Linked DNA regions of Schizosaccharomyces pombe. Changing the gene in region 1 together with any one later gene gives a genetic interaction. Each region holds a gene or a part of one and is shown in the gene's direction. Other genes may lie near its edges. The genes, in order: any1, tsc1, pub1 and tsc2.

The links.
Region 2: of any1 (region 1) and tsc1, changing one suppresses a phenotype caused by changing the other (phenotypic suppression), as found in Schizosaccharomyces pombe (one study listed by BioGRID).
Region 3: of any1 (region 1) and pub1, extra expression of one rescues a mutant of the other (dosage rescue), as found in Schizosaccharomyces pombe (2 studies listed by BioGRID, with this or other methods).
Region 4: of any1 (region 1) and tsc2, changing one suppresses a phenotype caused by changing the other (phenotypic suppression), as found in Schizosaccharomyces pombe (2 studies listed by BioGRID, with this or other methods).

Annotation. Positions count from the first base shown.
Region 1 is NC_003423.3:1,807,098-1,813,626, reverse strand, and holds any1 (arrestin-related substrate adaptor Any1), read left to right. Parts: upstream 1-3,307; 5' UTR 3,308-4,139; coding exon 4,140-5,225; 3' UTR 5,226-5,369; downstream 5,370-6,529. Other genes in the region: Tf2-9 (retrotransposable element/transposon Tf2-type), read left to right, coding at 1-879; phophatidylinositol 3-kinase complex subunit Vps38, read right to left, coding at 5,647-6,529.
Region 2 is NC_003424.3:672,659-681,287, reverse strand, and holds tsc1 (Rheb GAP, hamartin Tsc1), read left to right. Parts: upstream 1-3,028; 5' UTR 3,029-3,049; coding exon 3,050-5,749; 3' UTR 5,750-5,967; downstream 5,968-8,629. Other genes in the region: G-protein-signaling regulator Rgs1, read right to left, coding at 1-1,112; THO complex subunit Tho2, read right to left, coding at 5,968-8,629. UniProt on the Schizosaccharomyces pombe protein: Together with tsc2, required for uptake of various amino acids from the environment and for proper conjugation. Involved in induction of gene expression of permeases and genes required for meiosis upon nitrogen starvation.
Region 3 is NC_003424.3:3,960,324-3,967,838, forward strand, and holds pub1 (HECT-type ubiquitin-protein ligase E3 Pub1), read left to right. Parts: upstream 1-2,742; 5' UTR 2,743-2,999; coding exon 3,000-3,016; intron 3,017-3,067; coding exon 3,068-3,090; intron 3,091-3,141; coding exon 3,142-3,286; intron 3,287-3,428; coding exon 3,429-5,547; 3' UTR 5,548-5,849; downstream 5,850-7,515. Other genes in the region: protein Mtl2, read left to right, coding at 1-1,185; isocitrate dehydrogenase (NAD+) subunit 1 Idh1, read left to right, coding at 6,512-7,515. UniProt on the Schizosaccharomyces pombe protein: E3 ubiquitin-protein ligase which accepts ubiquitin from an E2 ubiquitin-conjugating enzyme in the form of a thioester and then directly transfers the ubiquitin to targeted substrates. Regulates ubiquitination of cdc25.
Region 4 is NC_003424.3:368,675-377,399, reverse strand, and holds tsc2 (Rheb GAP, tuberin Tsc2), read left to right. Parts: upstream 1-3,268; 5' UTR 3,269-3,435; coding exon 3,436-7,455; 3' UTR 7,456-7,559; downstream 7,560-8,725. Other genes in the region: transcriptional corepressor Tup12, read left to right, coding at 284-407, 469-556, 954-1,306, 1,570-2,717; SPOM_SPAC630.12 (lipid phosphatase), read right to left, coding at 7,560-8,725. UniProt on the Schizosaccharomyces pombe protein: Together with tsc1, required for uptake of various amino acids from the environment and for proper conjugation. Involved in induction of gene expression of permeases and genes required for meiosis upon nitrogen starvation.

The DNA of each region.
Region 1 (6,529 bases):
GGCAATCCAAAAGAAATCATTGCAGATAATGATCATATTTTTACTTCCCAAACGTGGAAAGATTTCGCACATAAATATAATTTCGTTATGAAATTTTCGTTACCATACAGACCACAAACTGATGGACAAACTGAGCGTACAAACCAAACTGTGGAGAAATTACTAAGATGTGTATGTAGCACACATCCAAATACATGGGTAGATCATATATCCCTAGTGCAACAATCTTACAACAATGCGATACATTCAGCAACTCAAATGACACCTTTTGAGATAGTACATCGCTATTCACCAGCTTTATCACCTTTAGAGTTACCTAGCTTTAGTGACAAAACTGACGAAAACTCTCAGGAAACGATCCAAGTATTTCAAACAGTTAAAGAACACTTGAATACAAACAACATAAAGATGAAAAAGTATTTCGATATGAAAATACAAGAAATTGAAGAATTTCAACCTGGAGACCTAGTTATGGTCAAAAGAACGAAAACAGGTTTTCTTCATAAATCCAATAAATTAGCACCTAGTTTTGCAGGACCGTTCTATGTGTTACAGAAGTCGGGTCCAAACAACTATGAATTGGATCTTCCAGATTCAATCAAGCACATGTTTTCATCTACTTTTCATGTTTCTCACCTAGAAAAGTATCGACATAATTCAGAACTCAATTACGCTACCATTGATGAGTCTGATATTGGAACAATTCTTCATATCCTAGAACATAAAAACAGAGAACAAGTACTCTACTTAAATGTCAAGTACATTTCGAATCTAAATCCGAGTACTATTATGTCAGGATGGACTACATTAGCTACAGCGCTACAAGCGGACAAAGCAATTGTCAATGATTATATTAAAAACAATAATCTAAATATCTGAGAACATATGACTTATCCTCAGATTTACATAGAAAATCTTGGGGAGGGCAATGTCAGCAATACTACACTACGCTATAATACACTACGTTGAGTATCACTATATGTCACATGTTCTAATTATATATCGTACCATGTATGATACGATATGGAGATTGATCTTAATGATAATCTATTAAGATCAATATTATCTGAATACTATAAATAGAGCTACTGCTGAACCTCGTTCCTCAGTTCAGTTATGAGCTATATTAGTGATAGGTAACATTATAACCCAGTTAATACAATACCTATACTCAGTTGCTACTTATACAACCTGTGTATTGTAATATAATAGATCACAAGGAAAACTCACCGCAGTTCTACGTATCCTTAAATCAGATACCAAACTGCGTAGCTTACATTAATGAAGCAGAATGAAATTCACTAATCTTTACAGATTTTTTTAATAATACCGTTGCATACAAATACATAGGTAAATGAATGGACTAAGAGTGTTTGAGCATGTACACTGTTCTGTACTGTATAAGTTTAATAATATTGTAAAGTTTGATCTTTACAATGTCCTTCTTTTTCTTCTTTTTCTTTTGCCCGTTTTGTTTGTTTTTGCTCGGTCTATGATAGAATTCGATGATACCTATCCAGAGTCAGTAAGTAAGGTAAGGTAGGGCAAAAAAGGGTAGGTAAAAAAATCTGATGTAGCTGTTTAAGTGGAAATTAAAGATGATGAGAAAATTCGACGACATTTATAAGATGAAGGTTTCAGTGTTCCATACGTTCTTTGTTACCATGATTCTTTGTTTTCTAAAGCGGGAAACTTACGGGAATAATTTATAATACTGCGCAGTTATGTTATGTTGGCCATAACGAGAGCGATGATGAATCATAATGATCCATCATGGCGATCAAATGAGACGGAAACCAAAAAACCGTACGAAGATGGACACCGATTGGAATACAAATTCATAAGGAGCAAGTGTCAGTAATAAGAGAGTGATATTAATGATGAAAGAATAATATCAACAACAAAAAAAGTAACATTATTTGTGAATGAGTAATATACGCTGCGTACGTAGCAATGTTGCATGTCAAAAACAGAAACAAAATTAGAGATTGTGTGCCAGTGCAAACAAAGAGGCCTTGTAGCATAAGAATCGCCAAATTGCAATGGGCTTATTAAGAGTATTTTTGATTACTTACATTCACTCTGTCAGCGAGCCAGACCTTCCCAGAAACCGCCTCTTCGATCAACCCATTTGCCTCATTTGTTGATATTTGCACTGTTTGTCGGTAAACACATTGCTTGTTTTCACCATTTGCTGCTCTCGAGCCTCCCTTGTCTTCCTCGATCCGAAATATACCGTCTTGCTAATTGCAATAAGTTACAATTCCAAATCTCCTTACTACGTTGCTGCCTTAGGATTGTGCCTTATTCCGCGGAGAGCATTCACGGAAGAATTATAAAACTATTATTGTACACCAAATTACAAAAATGGACTTTAATTTAACAAAAAAATTTTTCCTTTCCTTCTATGGATGTCTTTGCTTTTCAACTTTTATCCTTTCTCTTTTGAATTAAAAATACTGATTGAACCTCTTTTTAATAATATTTATTTTCTTATATACGAACGGTCACAAGGGCATTATTCATCGGCTTCCTGCGTATTTTGCAGATCAGGCGGATACAGATCGACGGGATGCTCCTGACCTTATGAATAGACTGGTACGAGTAAGGCCAACTGTGATGATTTCTAATAAAACTAATAAGCAATTTGTAGCCTCGAAGCTTTTGCGCTGGTAGGTTACAATAGAGTATTTCTTGCAACAGTAGACACCTCTCACTTGCTACGTATTACTTGTGGCGTGGGGACATACTGAGCTTATGGGAGGAAACAAAACAATGACAGTGAGATCAGATCAGATTTAGCACCATGAATATGATTGAGAATTCCTTCTATCCATTTTTGTAAACTTCTCAAGGAAATATTATATTACACAGGAAATCATTGTATTTCTATCGGTATATTATCATACACCAAAATCTTTAGCGGTTAACTTTCTCGCACTGTATACACAGCTTTTATAAAAAATTTCGTTCTCTTGCTTTTTAACAGATATTTTCCTTACATACATATTTCAATTTTCTGCACAAGCTCGTTTCACTTTATTCCGTTATTAATTGATGTAATCGTCTCATCGCGGCCCTCTTTCATCAAAAAATTCGTCACTTATGGAAACACGGTTCTCTGCATTAATTCGTTTAGCGTAAACCTAATCACCGTTATTCCAGAATAACATTAACGGAAATAACATGCGAAAACAATTACACGAGATTATTTTTTATGACGCAAAATCTTGATACCGTAACTTCTATGCGCCTCATTAAAATAAATTTTGAGCAATCATCCCATCTCTTCATGTTTTTAACATTCACCGTGAACCAAGTATTTTCTAGTGATTCTTGAAATCAAAAGGGCTTTAAGAGATCGATTTCTAGTGAAATCGCTCGTCAGTTTTGTCTTGCTTTTTCTCTAGATTTTGGTGTTCAATCGACTTGGTTTGCGTGGACTGCTGATCTATTGCGAATCTTGCGAATATAAACTGCCCATCGAACCTCTCATTTTCTCTAGCCTTGGGTTTCTTTTCATTTTTTCAGCTCCTCTTAAGAAGGTGTGTGCTCTACTTTAATTGACAGTCTGCTATTTTTTTTTAATTAGCTTGTTCTTACACATTTTTGGGTTGATAATTCACATGAGATTTTGAATTATTAAAACAAAAACATCATCACTAAGGGAGACATAAAGCAAACTCATAAAGTTCCTTTGTTCAGCTTTTTTGTTACCTTACATCCCTGTGTTAAATTCAAGTCGGTTTACTTCTTTCTCATCAATTGGATTACTATTACTTTCTACGGAAGAAGAATAGGTATAAATCATCTTCAAAAAAATTTGGATAATAGGCGAAAGAAAAAAGTCGTTGGTTGTTTGGTTTAACGACTTTTTTTCTTATTTCCATACTTCGTTAATTCTTTCTTCTCTTTAATTTCCTGGTGGGTTTTTCCTTTTCACATTTTTTAAGTTCAATTTAGCAGTGTTCTTCCACTGTAGGGTTTGGTTTTTTTAGGTGTACTTGGCATTTTTACACACATTATTTTATTCCTGGTTTATCATTTCATACTGGTAATTTTTTTTAAAAAATTTTCCATTTCTATTTTTTTTTCCATTCCTTTGTTTTACCGACAAACGCTTAGATTTTCTTATTACTATGCCATTAAAACTTGCACTACCTCGTTCAACCACGCCAAAAGACCCTGCTCGCTGTACGTTAGATATACGTATGGAATCACCGCCGCTGGTATTCCTTGGCTCGCCGGAAACGTCTAGTGGTGCACTTGCGTCTGGCATTTTAAAACTGACGATTTTACATCAACCTTTTATTAAAGTACATACCCTCAAGCTGCAACTCATAAAAAGGATCACCGTTCTTCATCCTGCAATCTCTCATTGTTCTGCTTGTGCGGGTTCAAAAGAGGTTTTACAGACTTGGGATTTAGCTGCAAATACCACATATAGACCTGGTACTCAGCATTGGCCTTTTAGTTGGCTTTTCCCTGGTTCGCTTCCTGCTTCGGTTTCTAACAGATACATCAAGCTTGAGTATTATTTAGAAGCTACGTTATGCTATGGTACTCCTGAAGGCGGAATTTCTCCCTCGAAGCCCGAAGTTCTTAAGTTTCCTCTCCAACTAAAGCGAGCTGCCATTCCTTCGCCTGATACCATCCATAAACGTATCTTTCCCCCTACGAATCTTGTTGCAAACATTACTTTGCCCAGTACCTTGCATCCTCATGGAGCTGCGCTTATGGAAGTTACCATGACTGGTTTTGCCCAAAATGACGGCAACGATTGGAAGATCAATAGAGTTACTTGGAGATTGGAGGAGCATATGCAGTTTAGTTGTCAACCATGTGAACGCCATCGTGATTTGGTAAAACCTCGACCTATTGAAGAAAAAAGAATTTTGAGTACACAAGATTTACAATCGGGATGGAAGTTCATTGATAATCAGATGTTTCTATCTACTCAAATTAACACATCTTCTTTAAGAGAGCCAAGCTGTGACGTGGAAATTCCTGCCCCTTTTTCCTTAAAAGTCTCTCATCATTTAATTTTTGAGACCATTGTTAATAGAAAAAAGAACGTTGCGGGAAACAATATGGGCAATGCCCGTATCTTACGAGTATCAGTCGTTCAGCCACTTACCACGCCAGCTGGTTTAGGTATTAGTTGGGATGAAGAATGCCCGCCAGTTTTTGAAAGTGTAGGACCCGCTCCGCCTGCCTATACCTAGAATATGTGGGTCGGATGTAACCGGAAGAGCTCGATCACCATCACATAACTATCAAAAAATGAACATGGCTCTTTTTATTTTTTAATTCACAAGTTTTATTAATTTAAGGGAACTATTTATAATATCTACATTCATCATTATCTGTTTATTTTTATATTTTAAACGTAAATGCATTGTATAGTAGTTGTCGCAATGACAATGAGTAATATGCCTTCGGCAAATGTCCATAAAAACTCTTCATTAAGATGATTAAAATTAAACCGTGAAATGGGTATATGAATTTCCAACAAAGAATACGAAAACGAAATTGATTGTTGAGAGTAAACTAGGGTGAAAAGATACAATTAAACGATAGACAAGTTATGCGTAGTTTTGCAATTAACGATAATTTAGGCTTATGGTGCCTAAGCTTATGGAATTGTTAAGGAGCGGTAGACGTTACTTGTACAAAAGATAGATGTTGTCCTGATAAAATAAATTGGAGCAGTTTTTTAAAGTTCCTGAGTATGTCCATGGATTGGTCAATAGGTAATCCAAAAGTTTCTAAAAAATCATTTACATCCTGGTTGAGAAGATAAATGGCATGTTCAAAAAGCTCAATTGGTCGAGTTGCTGGATAAAGGGGAAAGATACGCGTGGGGATGTCGGGTGTCAATGTATCCAGGATGGAGGATCTCGAAGATGCGCAAAGAATTGGATAAGCGAGTTCTTTTTCGAGATACTTTGAAAGAGTTTGAAGTAAATGCGCCAAAAATCCTATGGAAGCAGCCATTTCCACATTATTAATTTTATCTGGCTCAAAAGATAGGCGGAGATTGCGAATTGTAAACTCGTCATGATTGCCAGGCGATGGTTGGATTGGGTAAATTTTGGAAAGATGGGAAACGTGCATACGAATAGCATGTGCCATAAGGATTCGAATCTCTATATTGGTCTCTACTTTTGTTTTTAAAGAATTGGCAAGTTCCACATACTCAGCTTCATCTTTTTGAAGGGATTCTTTGGATTTGTTCAAAGTGTTCCTTTTTGAGGATAACCAGCTTTTCGTCTTGTCAAATTTCGTCCTCATCTGAGTGATGCTATTAATTTGTTTTTGCCAAAGATGTTCTAATTTAGCCAGTTCATCGATTTTTTCATCCCGAAGTAACATCCTTTTGTGCATCAAACGTATCTGCTGAAACTCCTCCTCCTGAAAATGAGCTCGAATTTCATGTTTAGCAATGTGCATTTCATCTATGCATTCAGCCAGTTTCAAAATTCGAGTGATTTTCTGAATAGTGTAACCATCCTTCCGCCTGTCTATA
Region 2 (8,629 bases), on another chromosome or scaffold:
TGATTTTCGTCACAAAAATTTTTTTTCAGAAATTCAAAGAAATAGGTTTGTAGATTCGGCTTTCTAAGAATGGTTTCCAGGATTTCCTTATTGGTGGATCCTTTTTCGACTTCATTTATTTTATTAATTAATTTATTATTGGAGACATTTTTAGTCCATCCTAGAGTCGCAATTCCCTTTCCAGTCAAAAAATAGGAAACACCCTTTGCATAGCTAAACTTTAAAGGAGTCTCGGAATTATTTTCGTAAGCAATGTATGAATGAATTAACAAATCGCTAGCAACAGTTTCCATTTCCGACCAGTCTAGGAGCATAGTGTTACACATAAGCCATTCAGCTATGTCAATGCCAAACATTTGGTATTTGGTGACTTTGCTTAAGGAGTCTTTTGGAGAGGGACTTGAAACGGAGTAAACGGGTACCAGAAGAGGGTTTTTAGATTTCCCAATTTCATGGACGCTTCCAAGCATACGTACCAGCAACATTTCACAAAAAGAAGAATCCTTAAGTATTTGATCGGTACTTGAAAAGCGCGAAATGGAAACAATGACGGGCGCAGAATGATTCCATTTGGAAGCGTAAAGCTCGGCTTGAGAATTATGTCCGTTATGTTGTAGAAACTCACTAACAACAGAGTAACCTTTCCTTGTAAGTTGAAGAAGACATTTTTCGTTTGAAAATTTTCTAGCCGATGGGTTATTTACAATTTGCAGCAAACGAGCATTTAAAAATGTATTACATAAACATTTAGCAGCAGTCTTAGGTATCGTAAATTTGGTAGTAGACTTTAAGACTTTACTGCCGCATCTACTTTTAATGCGGTTTACCTGACTCAGCTGAAGATTTTCCAATGTTGAAAGCAATTGCAATAAGGTACAAGAGTTTTCCACATATGAGAATCTGTACCTGTTCCGAGAAAAATTCGTAGAAATTACCATCGTCGAGAAGAGCTCCAAAAAGTCCTTGCTATAGGGTCTACCATTAGAGGTAATTTTCATTAATCGAGAACATTGTTGACGTTTATCGCCGGAATCTATTGAATTTCCGTTGCGATAAGACGTAACAGCTTCATAACTGGGCGGTGGTGAAGAAGGGTTATGAAGGGCGGGCATCCAAAGCTGATTCTTACTTTTACGAATTTGTAGCCTTTTATCATAAATAATAAAGTGATGAACAAAAGAATTGTGATCTTGCTAAGCGAAAAAGCGACAGAGATCGGGCAGCCAAGCACAATGGAGTGTTAAATATTGTTTCTTTTATTTTTTTAAAAGATAAAAGAGAAGTACAGAACTCAAATAAGATAAAAGAAATTTAAATATATAGTAATAGTCCCACTTTCTTGATTACCGTCAATTTTTATAATCAATTACGGGTAATTCGATACTAAATCAGGTCTCCAGCTGTTTTCAATAGGTCTGATCCCTATTAAATTTAAAATCGAATGAAGGATTGGAGCAATTTTGTAAACGTCGATATAGGCACACTGATGAAAATTCGGGAAATGCCTTAGTATTTATACTTCGAAGTTTCCCATCTAACCATTGCTATACGCTTTCTTTTAAACAAAGAAATCATTAAATGGCGAACAATGGGAACTTTAACGGAACAAAGAACATTGTGCAATTGATTTGTTTACCCCAACAAATTAACAGTGAGAAAGCAGAACAAAGAAAACAGGTAGCAATTTCCACCTTTCGTCAACTTATTCCGAAAGGGGTTTTAATGAATCGGTAAATTTCATGTGATAACACCGATTGAATAATAATAAAAAAAGAATCAAAATAAGACATTTAAACAAGGATATGCAGTCGCTTGCCTATTTTTTGAAAGGAAATATTATATAAACTAGTAGAAGGAGATATGCTATGGCTGGATAATTCACAGATGGTTGGTAAATAAAGCTTACCCAGCACTCCTGGAGACTGGGGAAAAACAAAAAGTAAAAGAAGTAAGCAAAAAAGGATTATAAACAGTTACAGATATTTTGATACTTCTTAGTTGTTCACTGCATCTCTCCTGTTAGTTCCATTGGGTACTGAAATGACCCCAAAATATGCAATGAAAATGAAATGGCTTTTGTTATGAAACTTTACATCGCCAACTTGGAAGACTTTAAGATATAAATTAAAAAATATTGGTGTTTGTAATTATTTACAAGCACCGGCTTTCCCTTTTCCATGACTATATTCTTTTCTACTTTGCGCCTTGCAACGCTTCTTACACCTGCCCTATAAAAGTTTTTTTTTATTAATGAAATATTTTCTCTCTAAGTGACTGTAACACACTGTGGAATAACATAGCAGTTAAGAGTATGTCGTTAAAAGTGCTTGAATATGTTACCATAATATTAGACCGACTCAAATTATTTGCCCTCTAACTTCCTTTGAAAGAAAAGTTCCCTAGGAATCCTTAATAGTAAAACCGTTTTCTTTTTATTTTTACATGTTTATTCAGAGAACTCTCAATGTGTTTTCGCATTGTTTGCTTTCGTATTTCCTCTGTGCTGAAAATGCGAACACTGCCTACTATACTGTATAGTCCTAGAAATCAATACTTAATACATTCTTTAAATTTTGGAGATGGATCAAGTACCATGGTATAGATGATGTTTACATAATTTGGATAAAAATTACAACTTACTTTACTACTTATGATTCCTTCAAATAAAGCTTGTTTAAAACAACGTTCCTCAATTCAATTTTTAGCTATATAAGTGTAATTATAAATACTTCTTGGTATTCTTAACGAGTATTTTAGGATATTTATAACTATTTACAATAAATTTATTATACTATGTACATTACACTAAAAAATATCATTGCAGTACTATCGTATCTTAAAAACGAATTACGACCTGTATGGTTGACATGTAATCTAGTTAAAGGATTTTTGGATAGCGCTGTATAATTTGGTTGAAAATGCAAAGACTAATTAAAAAAATGTGGCAGACTACGCTATCCTCGTTACGTTTATCAATGCTGCCAAGACTTGCTATCAGTATAATGTCGCATAGTTGTATATCAACGTTGACTTTGCCAACTTTGTACGAATGCCGCTGCAATCGCTAGTCAAAGCATTATGGAACGTCCTTCATGAAGAAGAATCGGAAGGCTATCCCGATTTGACTGAGTTAATTGCGGAAGTTGAGTCGTATCAGCAGCGTTATCCCAAACAAAACCCCACTAACTCACAAAAAATAAGACACATCTTGGACGAGATCTACGAAAAGACGCCGTTCAATAATACAAGGCGACGGATACTATGGCTAGCTGTGTTGAAAACGGTTATACCGTTGTTGATTTTGGATCGCCAAGCAGTTGGTGAATGGTGGGACCAGATCTTTTTTCCTTTCTTGAATTCTCCTACCCAATTGAAACCGGTATTTAGTGACTTGAAAAGTATTTTATTTTACATTTTAATTTTTCACGACGAGGATGAATGGGGTGGAGACTTGAGACGGGAGTGCGCTGAGGAAACTATCACTCGTTTGGTTGACCTTTACGTTTCTAAAGCTATCGAAAATCTAGGTGACGTGGAATCTCAAGAGCAAAGGAATCAAACTATTGAATGCTTGGTTAATGTTCTCGTCCATTATGGGATACAGAGACCAAAGGAACTTTCTTCTTGTTTTTGTCATCATTTTTTAAATCCTCCAACCCGAATCCCTATTTTATCAGTTATGGTTGAAGTAATACGGCGGCAAGGTCCTCGTTTATATGAAATACCACAGACTGGCTTCTATGACCTTGTTTTAAAATGTGCGGAATTTGATACTTCACCAATCTTACTGTCGTATGCATTATCTTTCATCCTTATGATACTGTCTCACATTTGTAACTCCTTAGACGATTCCTTATATAGATTGTTCTGTATCTATCTTCGATTTTCAATGATTGACCCGACCTCTGGCTTCCCATCGTCTACTGCGTCTGGTAATTGGGAGGTGTTTCACGATTTTATGTCAACGTATGCCTCAACTACCACCTCTCAAACAGATAGCTCTTACAATGATGTTCATGATATTGTTGGTTCTTCTCAACCAGATTATCTCGAAAGTCTTGACTACTCTCAACTTTTCTCAATTTTGTACGCTCTGTACCCTATAAACTTTTTAGAGTTTCTTCGGGATCCTAAGTTGTATGCTTCTAAACATAATTTCCAAATACGTTATTCCTTTAATCAAGAACTCCTCTCCACAAAGTCGGATGGTCTTCTCGGTAGACATTTGGCACATTCTAATTTTCTTAAATATACAGCAGAAACAGAACTTACCGATAAATCCCGTTGGACAAGACTTGATTCTATTGCTGTAGTGGCCCTATGTAATAGTCTTAACGCTGTTGGAATAGCCGAAAGTGTTATGGATCCTTTTGGTGGTAAGCTTCCCACCACTTATGAAGAGACAAGTTCAGCTACTGGATTATTGGCCTATCCAAATGAAAGCCATGATATTGCTTCTGAGCCTTTTTCCATATCTTGGCCTCAAAATCCATCAATATCGGGTTCTGTTCATTCCGCGACTACATTTGACAAAGCCCAATTATCAAATACTGAAGATTCTTATGATAATATTTCGCATGGTACATCATATAGTGAAGGTGTTTCCTCAATTCACATGGTTAAAGGTGAACGCGGCTCAAATAATTTGGAACTGACTAGTGAAAGTTTGAGCAGCACGAACGATACAATTCGACGCTTACAAAGGGATCTGCTATTTCTTCAGAATGAGCTCCGTTTTGAAAAATTTGTTCGTCAGCAGCACTTGCAAAATATTGGAAAGCTTCATCGTGAGCACATACTAGATATGGCTGTGGAATCAGAAAGGCAAAAATTGCTTTTAACCAACAAAAGATATAAAGCTCAGATAGAGTTACTGAATTCTGAAATTGACAAACATCGCTCAGAATCACAGGCAGCTCTAAATCGTAGGGTTAAGTGGGAAAATGATTTTAACAACAAAATAAAAGCGTTACGAGAAGAAAAGAAAGCTTGGAAAAGTGAAGAATCAGAACTCAAATCATCAATTGAATCATTAATCTCGCAATTGGAATCAATACGAAATTCTCAAATTGACATTGCGTTTTCAAAAAATCAACTGGAGTTGAAGCTTCAACTCTATGAAACTAAGTTGAAAGAATATGAACAGCATTTGAGCTGCGTTAATATCTCCAAAAAGCAAGTCTCTTCGAGCTCTGATACTTCTTTTGGAAATACGAAGATGGACAGTAGTATGATTCTCTCTAACAGTGAAGCTGTTAGTGATGAGCAAGAAAGAGAGTTGATCGAGTCAGAAAAACATCGAATGAAACTGGAATCAGAAAACTTGCATCTTCAAGCTAATATTGAGCTACTGAAAAAGGACCTGGAAGCCATTAATGTTGTTTACGAGGCTAAGATTTTTGATTTGGAAAAACGACTTTCATCTGAAGCGAACGCACCTGAGTTGCATAATCCTGTCAACTTAAATTACGACGCTCAGTTGTCTAAAATATCCGAAATAAAAGAAAATTACGATGAGCTATTAACGCGGTACCGTGAGTTGGAGGGCAAGTTTTTAGAATCACAAGCTGAGGTCGAAGAATTAAAAAACTTTCAAAAACCGCTTGTTGATACTGGAAGCTCAATACACAGTAGCCCTGGTTTGCAACAAAGCAAGTTCATAATTCGTAATGACTCTTTGCATCCTAAAGTTGGCCCGCCACGTAGACAGTCTACTGATACAAGTCGTTCTACGTTTCGCCAATACTAAGTAGGTATATTTTTGAAGGTCCTTGAAATGAACTGGTCAATTATGATAAAACATACTTGCTCATTCCATATAAAATAATTAGATTACGATTTTTCACGACCATCATAATTCTGTGTATGAATCTCCTTATATAAAGATTTTTCATTATTTCCTTGTAATTACAAATTTAGTTAGATAAGAAAAAAAAGCTGACATCTAGTTAAAGCTTGAAACGTGGATCATTGAATTTTTCTTCTTTTCTCTTCTCGAGCAGATCGAGATGTTCTATCCCGTGGACGATCTCTTTGCTGTCGTGAATCCCGATCCCTTCGGTCGTCTTGCCTGGCCCTACGACGAGAATTTTCTCTTTCATCTTCCTCTCGTAGGTTGCTCGGGCTTTGACTATCCGAAGATCGGGGACGTTTATTTGAAGCATAATGAGTGCTACGACGACCATCTGCATCTCTGGAATCATTTCCCCTATTAGATCCATTACTTCTTCCAGCCCGACTAATAGCATTATTCTGCCGAGAATTACTCTCGCCAGAAATATCTTGCCTTTTGTTTTTATCTTTCCCTTCTGTAACCTCATCACGTTTATTATCGTTGCTTGTCCTATGATTAGCTTCAGACGAGCGCTCTCTTGAAACATTAGTGCTATTGTTATTAGACACTCGAGGGTTGCGATTTACGTTTCCATTTTGGCGCCATCTGTCAGATTTCTGTGATTCATGTTCACGCCTAGCATTTAGGTTTTGTGCTTGCTGAGGCTCGCGTCGAGTATGACGAGACACGCTCCTTAAATTATCGTTGTTTTCATTTGTAAAACTTCTTGATTGAGGTGTTCGGTCTCTAGACTGATCCTCTCGCAATTTACTGTCTGATCTTTGTATATCCTCATTCGTAGGGGTGCGTGTTCGTAAAGCACGTCTGTTTCCTTCAGGAGTTGTTTTTCTACGTCTTTCTTCTTGTTTTCTTTCATTAGCTGAGCTTCTAGCTTCAACCCTTTTCTCTACTGCCTTGTTCTCAACAAGATTTTTATTGTCAGTTTCAGAAGCAACTGCGTCGGAAGGCGTACTATCAGGTACAAACTCTGGTGCACTAGGATTCAAAGCTACTTTCTGTTTATCAATCTTTGCCTGTTCTTCCGATATGGAAGCAGTTTTGGAATCAACTGCTGATGTAGCTGCCACTGAAAGTTGTTGCGGTCTCTGAAGCTTTTCTGAATTACTCGGCCTTACAGTACCAGAAAATGAATTAAAAGAAACCCATTCTGGTTGCTTTTTTGAGAGCTTTGCAAAATACCCCAAAGCCAAAACCTTTAAATCTTCTCGTTTTTCTTCGTCCTTTAATCGTTCAGCGGCTCGTTTCAAAGCACTGCCACTTTCAATTATCAATGGGAAACATGGCAAAATTTTTTCCAAGATTATGACACTATTGTAGATATGCATATATTCAGTAGATAGTAAGCATGACTCAAAATAAGATGTTAGATATTTGTGCCATTTACTAAATAGCAAAACAAATTTGTTATAAGGAAGGACAGCGGAAAGATCGGGATCATTTTGTTCGTCAGACCAATATAACCTGAACCCAGGCAAAGCACCATTTGCCAAACATTCGCGTTCGTAAAGAATTTTGTCCCTGTACCAGCTAGTAATATCATAGAGTACTTCGTATAAAAATCTTCCAAAATTATCAGCCTCTCGTTGTGTCATTGAAAAAATAAATGAAGGCAATTGTGAATTAAACAAAATTTCTAAAAATGACATAGTTGAAAAGTTTGGTGTTCCAAGACTGTGCAAAAGCTTTACAAACTTTGCGCAGTACAAAGCATCATGTGGGCTCATTTTTAAACGGGGAGCAATGCAGAGTGTCCACAAATACCGAGCACAGTTGAATCTAGCATGCTCAAGTCTTGTACCATTAGGAAAAACACCATTTGGAATAAACCATTTCACGCAGTCACCTTGCAAAACTTTTCTTACACTCTCAAGTGAATTAATGTGTTCTTTAAGTTCATTCTGTAAGCTGTTAGACAATTGCATTATTTTTTGTCGGTCGTGTCGATGTCGTGAATAAAATGTGTTAGCGGCGTCAGTTTGCCTAATTTGATCAAAAGCCCGAGAACGCTCAAACTCATAACGTTCCAAGGGAACAAAAACATCATACAGCGATAGCTTCCAAAATGTTAAATAAAAATTAGGTGAAAAATAATCCCAAATTTGTTTAGGTAATAACTCAGTTATGACAGAATTGTCAATACTCCAAACGGGGTTGCTAGCAGTGTTTGGAGATGAAGTATTTTCATAATCAATATCCATTGCATCCTCAGTATTTGAACCAGTCAAACTGTGATCTAAATTTTTGTAACGCGATAGATAAAATGCAACCTGAGGTTGAATATGAAAATCTTGAATTAATTGCTCAAATGAAGGAATCAATTTATAATAGCTCTTTGGAGAGCAAACCATATTAAGAAATTCCATTAAAAGATAAAGAACATCAGAGCATTCGTCTTGAAGAGAAGAAATAAGTTTTAAATGAGAGTTTTCATCAGTAACATCATATATACAGGTCGAATATTTTTGAGAGAGTAGTACCAATAGCTGGGTTGCCAATCCGTTCTTTTGCAGCGTATTAAAAAGTCTCATGGAACTTTTCCGAACAACGTCCGGATTTTCATATATAAGAGATAAACTAAGTTGTCGCAAAACTGGTCCACCAGCAGCCCCTTGAATCTGATTGTCAGAGAGATTTGTCCATGGTTGTAGCCCAGTCATCTGCGAAAGCAATTCTTTCAATATAACAAGGTCAAACATTTGGTTCACTTTAAACTGTTTAATCACATATTCGACGATAGAGGTGCAATCGAGGCTCGAGTATCTTCTGAATACACGG
Region 3 (7,515 bases), on another chromosome or scaffold:
TCCTTAAGCCATTCGTCTAGTGTCCCATCATCTAGTTCTTCCTACCACAGCTCTTCCATGACTACGAGCGGCTTGAGTTCTTCAGCCAGCATTGTCAGTAGTACGTATCGAGATGGACCCTCAATAATCACATTGGTCTCAACTTCTTACGTTTCTGAAGTGGTGACCCCCACTACTACTAATAATTGGAATTCCTCCAGTTCTTTCACTTCCAGCACTTCGTCTACGCCTATTAGCTCTTCTTATTCTTCCAGTGGCACTTTGCCCAGTAAATCTAACAAGTCAAGCAATCATGTCGGCGTAGTTGTTGGTTGTTCTGTTGCTATTCCTGTTGGTGTAGTTCTAATTTTGATTGGTTTAGGAATTTTTCTTTGGAAAAGGCATCAACGGTCCAAACGAATTAAGGCTGAGCGCATGCAAGAAGTCGAGGAATACGGATTTAACCCCAATCAACCCTCCAATTTCCGTAGCCCAAATCGTGCTCCCTCTACTAATAACAGGTATCGTGGCTGGAATGGAAGCCCAACACCTGCTGCTGGAAACAATACTAACGGACGGCCTGTTGCTCCTAGACCTTCTGCCGGCGCTGGCGGAGCCAATCCGCCTGCAGCTTCTCAGCCCGGCCTTTTGGGTGGCAGTAGTAATTCAGCTGGTCCAATTGCAGCTGCTACCGCTGCTGGTGTCGGTGCTGATGCTTCTGATGCAGCTAATACTGGTGGAAGCTTTACTCGTCCTCAAGGAGCCCGTATGGTTAGACCGATTGGAAATCCACCTGATCTTTCTGCTTCTAACGAAGCTGAAGCTACAATGCCTCCATCTAATGGAAGCAACTTTTCTGAAGGTTTGTCTGCATCTCCGTTTGAGTCAGGCCCTGCTGTTGGTGCCGCTGGAGCTGCGGCCGAAGCTGCAGAACACAGTGGTTCTGGTTCAGATTCCTATCCAGAAGGTCCTTTAGCTACGATTCCTGAAAGTGACAGTGAAAGCATGGCTAGTGATTTAGCTGGAGAATCCTCTTACGGCTCGAGGGCAGCTCTGTCTAGTCGATCTCAAAGCAATCTTCTTTCCCCAACAAGCACTGGTGCTTCTAACCAGCCCAATTATTCACCTTTTGCTGACAACCCATCAAGTAGCAACGTTTCTATTCCTCGGTCGTCATCGGAAGCTCGCAGGTTGAACCTGTTTTAAAGTATGCGCTTAAACACTTGTTGCGATAGATTTAAGCAAAAATTATTTGTTTACAATTTCTGGATATATCCGTCGCTTAAAATAAATGCGTTAGTTACGCTTGCCTTCAATTGATGGTAGAAAGTCTTGCGAAGAAAAGCTTGCTCATCACTTTTTCGTATAACAACTTTTTCTTTATTCGGCTTTTACCTTTGTTTTTTACGAAAATCTTAAGTAATCGATCTTTTCAATCTTATTGCTATCTCTTTGTTTTACCGTTACTCACTCATTTCCTTTTTGCTTGAACAGTTTTATGGTATTAGAAATTCACATTCTCATTGCAAAGCTTTGTTATTATTATGGGTTTCGCTTATACCATCTCATACAATCAATTGGTCCGTCGGTTTACTTTCTTTAAAAAAGGAGTTATTTAGCAAACTATTTATCCTTCTTTCAAACTTTCTTTTTAAACTTAACTATTTGCTTTTTCTCATGGCCCTCTTTTTTTAAGAAAATTTCGTTGCTTGCATTTCATTCAAAGTCTTAAATATGTCATCTGGTTCCTTAACTTATTGCTTTTAAATCGACTTCATCTTTTGACTGACTTTTGAATTTTTCTTTCAATTGTTTCACTGTAGTGAGATACAACCCTTAAAAAAGTCTCTTTGGTTTGTTTATTCTTATCCTTTTCTCATTTGCATTTCATTACTTATCAATCATTTCTGTTTCATTCGCCGTTTCGCTTTGTTTTTTCATTTGTACATTTCTTTACAGAATGGCGAATTCTTGTCAAATGCGACGGAAAGCCAATTTTCCTGAATAGTGTAAAACGAAATGAAACTTTTAACAGCTACCTGTTTTCCATCCCATGGTTTCTTGTTATTGAAAGTGGATAGCAAATAGTCTTTATGACCAGCCATTTCAATTTTACTTTCAGTCGCCTAACCAATCTCGTTATCTCATTTCTTTGAAATAAATGTACATACTGTACTTTTTCCTTTTCTTTTCCTTCCGTTCCTTTTTCACCGTCTCGTATATGTAATGGAGCGTCACGTTCCCTTCGCTGCACTTATCGCTCTTACTCTTTCGTCATGTTGAGGACCATCTAGCTCTACTTTCTCTCGTGTGGCTGGATGTTTACTTAACTTTGTTTTGGCCAGCATGCTCGACTACTGATAATTAAAAAATAAAAATTTTGAGCATTGTCTGTTTAAGAGTTGTTGCTAAGTTCTGGCTTTATTACTTTTATTCGCGGCACTCCGTTTGCCTTCTTGTATGTACCTTTTACAATTCTTCGTTTCCTCTCTTTCTTCTCAGTTCTAACTATCACTTGAACGCAAAGTGGTTAGATATACATTTTCCTCATTCTTTCGTATTAAATCAATTTATTAAATGCTTATAGCTTGCAAATCATACATTGTGCTGCATGATATTTACTTTCGTAGTTAACACGTAAAACGTATTTTCTGTACGCCAAAAAAGATAAAGAACAATTTGGTAATCGCGTTGTATATATATAAGGAAATGGGTTATAATGCGTTAAGGATCTAATCTGCAAGACCGATTAATTCTCCTTTCAGCCAACACCACGCGAAATCCGACGGATTTCAAAATTGTGCGCTGAAAGCACGAATTTGATTAAGGATTCCTTTTGTAGTTCTTTTTTATTTATTTCGTTCCCGAAAAAAGCGTTTTTGTATCAAATAGAAAGGATAAAACGGCCTTAATTGAAAGTTTTTTTTGCAAGCACAAATACTTGACTTTCTTTGGGAAATTGGCTTTTTTTTATTATCCAAAAGCAACGCTGGTTTGAAATTTTACCATCTTTTCCCCCTATGTCAAACTCAGCTCAGTAAGTAGTTCTTTAACTGCTATAAACACATTTGCTAACTTTTATGATTAGATCTCGTCGAATTCGAGTAACAAGTATGTGATGACATTATTCAAATGCCCTGTGCAAACGCTGACCCAAAATAGTTGTTGCTGCTGATGGCCTTTACAAACGAGATGTGTTTCGTTTTCCTGACCCGTTTGCGGTACTAACAGTGGATGGTGAGCAAACACATACCACAACTGCTATCAAAAAGACGTTAAACCCTTATTGGAATGAGACTTTTGAAGTGTAAGTGTATATCCCAGGTTTTGACCTTTCCAAGTAACTTTTATGTATATCAATTTTAGTTGGGGTTTCTTCCAGTTTATCCCTTATAATTTAGCTAATGTTAACTTTTTGATTAAAAACAATGTTTCTAACAATTCTTTAGTAATGTTACAGATAATAGCACCATTGCGATTCAGGTGTTCGATCAGAAAAAATTTAAGAAAAAAGGCCAAGGCTTTCTAGGAGTGATAAATCTTCGTGTTGGAGATGTGCTCGATCTCGCCATTGGAGGTGATGAAATGTTGACCCGCGATTTGAAAAAGTCAAATGAGAATACAGTAGTTCATGGCAAGATAATCATAAACTTATCAACGACTGCGCAGTCAACCTTACAGGTTCCATCCAGTGCAGCATCAGGTGCACGTACCCAACGTACTAGCATTACCAATGACCCGCAAAGCTCACAAAGTAGCAGTGTGTCTCGTAACCCTGCTTCCTCTCGTGCTGGTTCACCTACCCGCGACAACGCACCTGCTGCTTCCCCTGCTAGTTCAGAACCTCGCACATTTAGTTCATTTGAAGATCAATATGGGCGCCTTCCTCCTGGATGGGAAAGACGTACCGATAATCTTGGCCGAACTTATTATGTAGATCATAATACAAGAAGCACAACGTGGATTCGCCCCAACCTAAGTTCTGTTGCCGGAGCAGCCGCAGCCGAATTGCATAGTAGTGCATCGTCTGCGAATGTTACCGAAGGTGTTCAACCTTCCTCTAGCAATGCAGCTCGTCGTACAGAAGCTAGTGTTTTGACCTCTAACGCTACTACTGCTGGTTCAGGAGAGCTTCCACCGGGATGGGAGCAAAGGTATACACCAGAGGGTCGACCCTACTTTGTGGATCATAATACGCGAACTACTACTTGGGTGGATCCGCGCCGTCAACAGTACATTCGTTCCTATGGCGGTCCTAATAATGCTACTATTCAGCAACAACCTGTCTCTCAACTTGGTCCTTTGCCAAGTGGTTGGGAAATGCGTCTTACCAATACTGCTCGTGTATATTTTGTTGATCACAATACCAAGACTACCACTTGGGATGATCCTCGTTTACCTTCGTCGTTAGATCAAAACGTTCCTCAATACAAACGTGATTTCCGTAGAAAGTTGATTTATTTCCTTTCGCAACCAGCTTTGCATCCTTTGCCAGGGCAGTGCCACATTAAAGTGCGTAGAAATCATATCTTTGAAGATTCGTATGCGGAAATTATGAGACAATCTGCAACCGATTTGAAAAAACGTTTGATGATTAAGTTTGATGGTGAAGATGGTTTGGATTACGGTGGATTATCCCGTGAATACTTCTTTTTGTTATCACATGAAATGTTCAACCCCTTTTATTGTTTATTTGAATACTCTTCGGTTGATAATTATACGCTTCAAATTAATCCTCATTCTGGCATTAATCCAGAGCATTTGAACTATTTCAAGTTCATAGGCCGAGTCATTGGTCTCGCAATTTTCCATCGTCGGTTTGTTGATGCCTTTTTCGTTGTTTCTTTTTACAAAATGATTTTACAAAAGAAGGTGACGTTACAGGATATGGAAAGTATGGATGCAGAGTATTATCGAAGTTTAGTCTGGATTTTGGACAACGATATAACCGGTGTTCTTGATTTGACCTTTAGTGTCGAAGACAATTGTTTTGGCGAGGTTGTTACGATTGATTTGAAGCCGAATGGTCGAAACATTGAAGTTACAGAAGAGAATAAACGCGAATATGTTGATTTGGTGACTGTATGGCGCATTCAAAAACGTATAGAAGAGCAGTTTAATGCATTTCATGAAGGTTTTAGTGAGCTCATACCACAGGAACTGATTAACGTGTTTGACGAGAGAGAATTGGAGTTGTTGATTGGAGGCATTTCCGAAATTGACATGGAGGATTGGAAGAAGCATACGGATTATCGTTCATACAGTGAAAATGACCAGATTATTAAATGGTTTTGGGAACTTATGGATGAATGGAGTAATGAAAAGAAATCCAGACTTTTACAATTTACCACTGGTACTAGCCGAATTCCTGTCAACGGGTTCAAAGATTTGCAAGGAAGTGATGGCCCCCGTAAGTTTACTATTGAAAAAGCTGGTGAACCCAATAAACTTCCCAAGGCCCACACCTGTTTCAATCGACTTGATCTTCCTCCTTATACTTCGAAAAAAGATTTGGATCATAAATTGTCCATAGCTGTTGAAGAGACGATTGGTTTTGGTCAGGAGTAAAATGGATAGCTAGCTATTGATTACTTTTGATATTTGAACTATTGGTGTTTAACAGTGAAAAAGAATTTCTGTGTAAAGTTTCCGAAATTATTTTTTTTTTCTCATTTGAGTGAAAATACTTGGATCATCATGTTCTACCTTTGTGTTCTCTACTACCATTTTCCTTCTTCTTTTTATACTTGTTTGCAAACACATTTCCTCTTAATGCTCTTCGCACAAAACATATAAGTTAATTTACTATTATTAAGTTACGTACTGCATAAGTGATTTTATATTTATGAAATTACCGCCCTTTTTCAACATTTTATTTGAAACTGTGAGTAAATAGGTAGTTAGTTGGTAAGGTTTTTGTATCCTGTCCAGGTCGTTGCTTATGTGGTAGTTACCTGGTCACCGTAGTAAATAGATGACATGAAAAGTTTACCCACAACTATAGGCTTTATTGAATGAAAAGGGCTTATTAAGAAAACAATAGCCGCTTCAATACATGTGTAATCAGACCGCAGAGCTATGACAGTGAAGTTGTGTTTATTATCGTAAACATTTATCATTTGTTAGTAATAAGTTGAATGCTTATACATTGGTCAAAATTCAGTAATATCGAATTCGATAACTATGAAATCTCGTGCAAATATTTATTTTTTGGATGTGTGAACCTATAGTAAATAGTATAAATTCTTATAGCGAGTTAAAAAACAGTATAAACCTTGATATTAGAGTAGAAGGTGAAATATCGTGATACAACTACAAAAAGTATTCTTTTAAAGAGGTTAAAATGTCATTGGATAAGGTAACAGAATAAGGTTCGTAAATTGCTACCTTTAAGGAGAATTGGGCAGTGGGGTAATCGATGGATGTGTAGGTATTTGTTTGGGGGTCTCATCGGCTTTCCTTTACCAACCACAATAGCCTTGTAAAACAATCCTGTTTGCATGTTACAGAAAAGAAGTAAACAAGATACATAATGTTCAAATCACTAGTAAGAAAATCCTCAGCTTTTCAACCATTAAAGTATGGAGGTAAATACACGGTAACGTTGATTCCAGGCGATGGAATTGGACGAGAAACGAGCAATGCAGTGACAGAGATCTTTAAAACGGCAAACGTTCCTATCGAATTTGAAGAAATTGATGTTACAGGAATGGAAAAAAACAATAAATCGTCTGGAGACGCGCTACATGAGGCAATTCAATCTCTCAAGAGAAATAAAGTGGGTTTAAAGGGAATTCTGTTCACTCCATTTGAAAAAGGAGGCCATACCTCGTTCAATGTTGCCTTGAGAAAAGAACTCGATATCTATGCCTCTCTAGTGCTCATCAAAAACATTCCTGGATTTAAGACTCGTCATGACAATGTTGATTTTGCAATTATTCGTGAAAACACTGAAGGTGAATACTCGGGTCTCGAGCACCAGTCGGTACCGGGAGTCGTGGAATCTTTGAAAATCATTACAGAATACAAATCAAAGAGAATTGCACAATTTGCTTTTGATTTTGCCTTACAAAATGGCCGCAAATCGGTCACTTGCATCCACAAGGCTAACATCATGAAATTGGCCGACGGTCTCTTTCGAAGGACGTTTTACGACGTTGCTAACGGTTACGACGCTATTACTCCTAAGGATTTAATTGTCGACAATGCCTCCATGCAGGCTGTTTCTCGTCCCCAGCAATTCGATGTTTTAGTGATGCCGAACTTGTACGGTAGCATTCTTAGCAACATTGGAAGTGCTTTGGTCGGTGGCCCCGGTGTCATTCCAGGTGCCAATTTTGGTCGTGACTATGCTCTATTCGAGCCTGGTTGCCGTCATGTTGGTTTAAGTATTACTGGACGTGGGGAAGCCAATCCTACAGCTGCCATCCTTAGCGCTTGCTTGATGCTTCGTCATTTAGGCCTAAAAGATTATGCTGATCTTATCAATGCCGCTACTTATTCTGTCATTGAAGAGGGTAAAACCCTGACCAAAGA
Region 4 (8,725 bases), on another chromosome or scaffold:
AATATGTTTTACGAGGTTTCATCACAAATTAATGATTTTACATTTTCCAACTGCGGCAAGTTGAATGAACAGCCAAATTACTAATTCAACAATATTGTCTCGCTAAGCATAAGTGAAATTGTCTTTCCTGACATGTTAATCTCAACATAGTTTGCTTACTTTAGCTTCGAAGCCGAGAAGGTTTTACCGAAATTAACGAATGTTATTTCTCGTTATTTCTCAAACAACATCATTCATGATTACTGTCCGCCAATTCACTTTTACCATCTTCAAGTTTCAATTTATGGCGACGTCCAATGTATCATCACGTGTAAATGAGCTTTTAGAAGCGGTTAAAAAGGAATTTGAAGATATTTGTCAAAAAACTAAAACCGTTGAAGCTCAAAAGGATGATTTTGAATATAAAGGTATCTTATACAAGAATTTGCTGACAAATTTGCGGTACAAATCTAACACTTCTTAAATTAGCAATGATATCTGCACAAATTAATGAAATGGCGCTCATGAAACAAACCGTTATGGATTTGGAGATGCAGCAGTCTAAAGTGAAGGATCGGTATGTCAATTTTCCTAATACACGCTTGGCGAGAAGGTTTGTTATATTAGTACAAGGTTATGCAATTATTGTGAGTGTTGTAGAGTCTTACAAAAGCGATTCCTCTCTAAATATTTATACAATTTACGGTCGTTGACGATAAATCTTTAAAGATGCTAAATAATGGTGGCTCCTTTGATGGGAGTAAATTCTATTAAGTAATCTTTTCATATTTTTACTCCGATGAAGGGTATTTCGTTTTTTACTCAGTATTTGGATGTTTATCACTGTTCGAAGATTCTCTGTCCTTTTCACACTTTTGTCAGCACCAGCATGCCTTCTGCTATGTGAACATTTATTCTCAATTTTATATTATATTTTCTCGAAAGCTATCTTTCTTGTTACTAACTCTCTCTAGTTACGAAGAAGAAATCACCTCCTTAAAAGCTCAACTGGAAGCTAGACGCAAAGAAATTGCTTCTGGCGTCGTCCCACAGTCTTCGAAAACTAAACACGGGCGCAATAGCGTTTCTTTTGGAAAATATGGAAATGCGGGCCCTTTTAACTCGGACAACTCCTCGAAACCTTTGATACTTAATAACGGTTCTTCTGGAGGAACTCCTAAAAATCTTCGATCACCTGCCATTGATTCAGATGGTACTGTTTTAGCTCCTATTCAGACCTCGAACGTAGATCTTGGTTCACAATATTATTCCAGTCCTCATGTACGCCCTGCTGTGGGTGCAACCATGGCTGGATCTGCTATGCGAAGTAAGTTCAAGCTTGCATTGTAGCTTTTGGCAACAGCATTTGTTTTTTGACTTGATCAAGTTTATAGATACTTTTTGTCTTTCACTTTATTGTTTGCATCTGGTATGTTGTACACCGTATGTTCCCAGACAATTTTTTAATGCTGTCATTAATTCGTTTGAATTCCTTGCGGCTTTTGTTCATTTTTTGTAAAACAAAATACTATTGCCGAAACTATTTTGCTTCCTCGTTTTAATTTGGATTTTCTTACTTACCATTCACAGCATTTCCTTCCAATTTACCGCTCGGACATCCTCCACCTCCATCTGACTCAGCTAATTCTTCCGTCACACCTATCGCTGCTCCTTTGGTTGTAAACGGAAAAGTCTCAGGTAATCCTCCTTATCCTGCTGAAATTATTCCGACATCCAATGTGCCTAATAGAGAGGAGAAAGATTGGACTGTCACTAGCAATGTACCTAACAAAGAACCCCCGATCTCTGTTCAACTACTTCATACACTGGAACACACAAGCGTTATTTGTTATGTAAGGTTTAGTGCCGATGGAAAATTTTTGGCTACGGGTTGTAACAGAGCAGCTATGGTTTTTAATGTGGAGACCGGTAAATTAATTACGCTTCTGCAGGAGGAATCTTCGAAGCGTGAAGGTGATTTATATGTTCGCAGTGTAGCATTTAGTCCTGATGGTAAATACCTTGCTACTGGTGTCGAAGATCAACAAATCAGAATATGGGACATCGCTCAAAAACGTGTTTATCGTCTACTGACTGGGCATGAGCAAGAAATTTATTCCCTTGATTTTAGCAAAGATGGAAAAACATTGGTTTCTGGTAGTGGAGATAGAACTGTTTGTCTTTGGGATGTTGAAGCTGGCGAGCAAAAACTAATTTTGCATACCGATGATGGTGTTACTACAGTAATGTTTTCTCCCGACGGTCAATTTATTGCTGCAGGTTCTTTAGATAAGGTAATTAGGATTTGGACATCGTCCGGAACTTTAGTAGAGCAGCTTCATGGTCATGAAGAGAGTGTTTACAGCGTTGCCTTCTCTCCTGACGGAAAATACCTGGTTAGTGGAAGTTTGGATAACACAATTAAGTTATGGGAGTTGCAATGCGTCTCCAACGTTGCACCCAGCATGTATAAGGAAGGCGGTATTTGCAAGCAAACTTTTACTGGACATAAAGATTTTATTCTAAGTGTCACTGTCTCTCCGGATGGAAAATGGATTATTAGCGGCTCGAAAGACCGAACCATCCAATTTTGGTCCCCCGATTCTCCTCATTCTCAGTTAACTCTCCAGGGACACAATAACTCAGTAATATCGGTTGCTGTTAGCCCGAATGGCCATTGCTTTGCTACTGGTAGTGGTGACTTACGAGCAAGAATTTGGTCTTATGAGGATCTGTAAGAACTAGCGATGTTTCATTTATAGCATTGAATGACAATGTCCGAAACCTACTTAATTTTTTAATTCTTCATTTGCCAATAATGCCCATTGACCATTGTGAGACTCGCTTCTTGGCAAGTCTTTTTTCCTTTATTTTATAAAAATTCATAACCGATTTTGTAACCCTTCAAACTTGCGGCTTATTTTGGTCGGAATTTTTCTATCAAGTCAAGCCGACCAGATGTTTTTGCTAATTCTTGAATCATTTCAATTCCCTTTTTTTAATTTTTGATACTTCCATACAATCCCCGACAACCGAAACTCTGATTTTATCCATAGTATTTCATTAACTATTAAATCCCAACTTTTGTATATATTTAATAGACCCTTCAAGTTATGTATATGTTTGCGCGACCTAGCTACTTAGCAATTGGTTTTTACGGTTAAATAACTTCATATATTTTTTGAATTTTGAATGTCGAATACTAAGTTTCTATTTATTAGTTTTAATGTCGTTTCAACCTATTCCTCTTAGATAAGGTAATGCTTCCCCTAATTCATAGCAGCCTGTCAGCTCTCCTCCCCACCCCTACCAGTGTAGCTAATACTTGAAATCAACTTCCATGCTCATAGTTTATGATCTTGAATATTCCATTAAGTTAAGAGTTCAGATTTGCTTTATGTGGTTATTCTGCTGAAGGTCCTAATTTATTGACGTTGAAAAATAAAGGCCACATAGATGAACAATAAATCACTTTTGGATCTTTCTAGTGAGCCTGCTATCAAAGATACAGACATTCTATCATATTTTGATGCTAACCTTCCTTTTAAAAAAAGGCATCAGATTGTAAGGAGTATTTACCATGGCTTAAAATACTATATATATTCATCGACTTCTATCATTCAAGTATGGCAAAATATTCAGGATTTTATCTCCACCAAAAACGATAATGCTGCTTTTCGGGAGCTTGTATACAATCTTATGATGAGATATGTTTCTACACAAAAGCATCTCTCGATTATAGAGCGCCACACTTTTTTTCAAACTATTGAGAAAGATCCTTTTCAAGATATTGCTGAATTACAGCTTCGGCTTAAGAGTTTGAGTGTTTTAACGGATGAAGGGCACAAAATCTCCGGTATTGAGAATAGGGTTGGTCCTTTGTTGAGTGCATGGTTTAACCAGTATCTTCAATGGCAATCTCAAGCAACTGAATTGCAAGGCAAAGACGCAGATTCAAAGCTCGTACATTTGCTTTTTTTTAAAAGCCTTTTTAAGTTTTCTACCAACTTAGTAAAATTTCAGTGGTTCCTAGTGCCTGAACCTCAAATGCTACAGCTTGTTAATTCCGTGGTACAAATATGTAATCACGCTCGCTTAGAAGATGTGGTTACTGAGGTTCTGATGTTTTTTGATTCCATGATTCGCTACTCGGTTATTCCAAAAGCTTCACTGTATGATACTGTTCTTATTTTGTGTAGCACATACATCAGCACCTACTCATATTCGAAACTTGCACAATCTGTTATATTTAATCTTATTAGTAGTCCCGTGTCAAATCTGGCTTTTGAAAACGTATTTAATATACTTCAATACAATCGCTCGAATGTTAATGCTGTACGGGGCGCTGTGCGTTTAATGCGTTTTCTCATGCTGCAAGAAGTGAAAAATGATGCAATAGCTTCTATAACTTTAAGTTCAAGTATTGAATTTACTGAGTTTCCATTAGGATTTAATGAGAATGTTGATTTTGAGATCCTTGGTACTGTGTATCTTTTTTTACGTACACCTTCTATATTAAATCGCCTTAATTTTTTGGATTGGCATCGGATTCTTAATATTTTAATGTATTGTTCACAATATCTACCTTTGAAAGCTAGTACATCGAAGGAAGCATTTTCGAAGACTGCAGCATTTGCTAATATATATGATCGTGTTTTGGATTTTTTGGATTTCGAAGCCTTGATTCCACTGCTGCAACAATTTCAGGTTAAGCTGGTATTCTTTTTGAAGGATGTTCTTCCAGTGTTAAAGCCGAAAATTCGAAAAAAACTTTTACGTCTTTTTGAGACTTACAATCTTATATTTCCTTGCAATCAATATTGGGTATTCAACCTTGAATTTTTACTTGGTATTTACCAATGCAAAACATTTGATCTTGAAGATCGAGCTCTTTTATTTAAGCTTGTGGAAGATGCTTGCTCTGTTGCTGATGAAAATTCGGCCCCCATTTTGTGTTCGAAATTCCTTTTTCCAGTAATTGAAAGCTTTTCTAAGGAATCTGATGATTGTGTTGTTTCTCCTGTATATAATATGTTGTTTTTCTTGTCTGTCAATTTTCAAAACCCGGGACTTAAGGATTGTATCGATCATATTTTTCAACAGCTAATTTCCGACACGAGCTCTGTTACTGTTCGCAGACTTGCCACGAGTACATTAATTCGTCTTTTTTATTATTATTATGACTTAAGGGATGCTGTGCCTATTCAAGAAACACTGGCTAAAATGTTAGAAATCTTGGAGACTCCATCTTTCCCTTTTGTTTCTCGAATGTTGTGTTTACAATTCTTTCTTCGATTTCGAGCAAATGGGACGTCTATTTATATATGTGAGAATATAGATTTGAATGAACCCTTCAAAGTCTTAAACGTTGATTCAGAACTGATTCCTGCAGTTTATCCCATTTCTGATTCTTTTGTTAACTCAGCAACAGTAGAAAAGCATATTTGGGAACGAAAAGAAAACGATTTGATTAAAATTTCAAATCATTCTACAGAATATGGCAAGGACTTTGTAACGTTCCCAACGTCTTCCTTGTTAAGGTTTTATCGAAAATCCATGGCTACAGAGTCTAACTGGACTATCCTTATGTTCATGATTACCCACCTTGCTGATCAAATAAGTAATAGGAGTATGTTTATCGGCGCATTAGAAGAAATCTATAATTTACTTGATTTTATGTGTGATATCGTTTTTGAAAGAGTTTCTATATCTGCTGAAATTCCTTCTAATATTCGTAAGGCCAACATCATGATACCAATCTTGCAAAACGTACAAATGCTTTTTGTTTATCATGATCAATTCAGCAGGGCTCAGGAAGATGAATTAGTCAGCGTTTTTTTTGCAGGGTTGCAAAAATGGAACGAAGCATGTCATGTTTCTATTCATTCACTTATGTTATGCTGTTATGAATTACCCGTTTCAATTCGAAAGCAGTTACCTGCAATTTTAGTCACTTTGTCAAGGTTAATCACCAAACCTGATTTGAGCGTTCACATTTTAGAATTTTTATGCAGTTTAGCAAGATTACCTGATCTTATTGCAAACTTTACGGATGCTGACTATAGACAAATTTTTGCAATTGCTTTGAAATACATTCAGCACAGAGATTTCACTAAGGAGTCGAAAGATTCAAATGATACGGAGAGCATATTAAAAAACTCTTACTCATCATACGTTCTAGCTCTAGCCTATAGCGTGTTACAAATATGGTTTCTTTCGTTAAGATTAACTGAGCGTAAAAAATTCGTACCTTGGATATTGCGTGGACTGAAGCTTGCTTCTGAAGGTAAACCATTGGAAGATTTATGTCTTGTTCAATATGACATGATGCAACAATTTTGCTATTCTAATTCCGACATCAATAACCAAACATCTACTTTTGTTGACTCAGACGTGGAAAGTGAAACTTGGATTCGTGGTAATTCACTCTTTACGATAAACGTGTCGGTAAACTCTGGATTCTTAGAAGCTGTCATTCGTCGCCCGACAGGTACTACGCAGTATACTTTTCGAAATGAAGCAAGTCTGCAAAAGTTTTTATGGGAGGAAAATCTCACAAGTTCAAAGGCTCTTACGAGGGGGCTTTTGTGTACTCCTAGCAGCTTTGTCTCTCATTTCTTGGATCCACATGGTATTTCTTTATACAATCAGCCTCTTCTGCTTCCCTCTAATGATGATTCTGTGCGTAGGGCTATAAGTGTTTTTGACCGTATTCCTGTAATTGAATCACTGAAGGCTGGTCTTGTGTACGTTGGGTACCAACAGCGTCGAGAAGCAGACATATTGGCAAATACAAATCCTTCTGAAGATTTCCTTACTTTTCTTAACGGTCTGGGCACATTATTCGAATTAAAAACAGATCAAAAAGTTTTCGCTGGTGGTTTAGATAGGGAAAATGATATAGACGGTGCGTTTGCGTATTGTTGGAAAGATAAAGTTACCCAAATGGTGTTCCATTGCACTACAATGATGCCAACTAATATAGAACATGACCCTGGGTGCACATTAAAGAAGCGTCATATTGGAAATGACTTTGTTACTATTATATTCAACGAATCTGGTTTAGAGTACGACTTTGATACAATTCCTAGTCAGTTCAACTTTGTGAACATTGTTATTACCCCTGAATCCGAATCTATCAGAAGAACAGGGCGTCAAATTAAATTTTATAAAGTTAAAGCGTTGACCAAATATGATATTGACTTTAGCTTATTCCGTCGTTACAAAATTGTTTCAAGCGATGCATTACCGGCAATTGTTCGTGATGTAACTCTGAACGCTGCCGTTTTTTCACATATATATCATCGCAGTGCTGGTGATTATGTTCATATATGGGCTGAAAGATTACGACAGTTAAAAAGATTACGCGAAAAATTTCAAGCTTCAGTTTTACCAGAAGACTACAATCTCGACGAGCAAACAAAGACCAAGCTTCAAAATGGCACGAATTTTTCGGACTTTACTAGTTATTTATGAGCCATAAGGGCATATAAAAAGTCCTAAATTAAAAGATTGATTACGATTGTGCCTTGCCATCATTAATTAATTTTTTTTATTTAATCTTAAATATTATTTATAGATCAGATAATGAAGATGTTAAGGAAGATGAATAAAAGAAACGGTATCCATGTATATGAGATGAATGTAGAAAGGGTTATGCGCACAATTTTTTTAAACAAATGAATTGTTGTTGACAATGAAAATCGGCGTGCATGAGTTTTGTAAAGTGGGAGGCTATAACGGTCAGTTCCAAAAAAAAAGATAGCAGTCCTCAATAATATAAGAGCAAAAAAGATGGATATAGAAGCACCATACCAAACATAAATTTGAATTTGGTTAGGAAGAATGCATAACTTTGTCTGATAAGAACTTTTTTGATCGGCTTTAGGGTTGTCATAAGGATAGTTCAATGAGAGAAGTTGATATCCCGGATATAGTATGCCGCTGGTCATAGAAAATGCCTTCACATTATATTCCGTGGTGGCTGCTTCTCGAGTATCCACCTGGTAATTATGCACAACTTCGCAATAATCGTGATCGTCTCCAGCAAATGCGGCAATTGGTTCAACAGCTTTTAAAATAGACTCGGAAAGTTCTGGCAAAAGCAAGTTTTGATACTGATATCCCAAACCATATTTGATAACATCATCTTTTTCACGAAGCTCCCCGCAAGAATTGATGGCAGGGCGAAACAAAGGAACGTGAGATAGAAGGATCCTAGGTCTCGAGTTGTCCTTATTTGTTTCAAAGCTTTTTAAGAAGTCTCTAGCCGGTTGATAAACTTGGGGATTGACGTTGTTTGATAAACGAATTCCATCTACAATAACCAGTGTATGATTGCCAACGTCTATTGATCGAGATGTTGGACCAAAAAGAGATTCAAATCTTTGAATATCCTTAACAATAGCGTGATTACCAAATCCAATATCATGATTGCCAGGGTAGATTTCCAATTTATTGGTGAATTTTGGGTCAAGGACGTTCATCATTCTGAAATAATCTTTTTTAAATTCTTCAGTTGCGAATTCTCTACCTGTGTCCATCAAATCGCCCATTATGAAAGTAATATCTGGCTTCAGTGATTTATGAAGATAACGCCAATGCCGACGAAGAAACTGGTCGGAAATCCATTTAACGATTCCAATTAAAGGTCGAGGATAATCATAAGTCAAATCGTCAACTAATTGAGGATCCGCAACCAATGCAATCCTTACTGGATTCCCAGTACTCTCCCATTGCTCCCAAG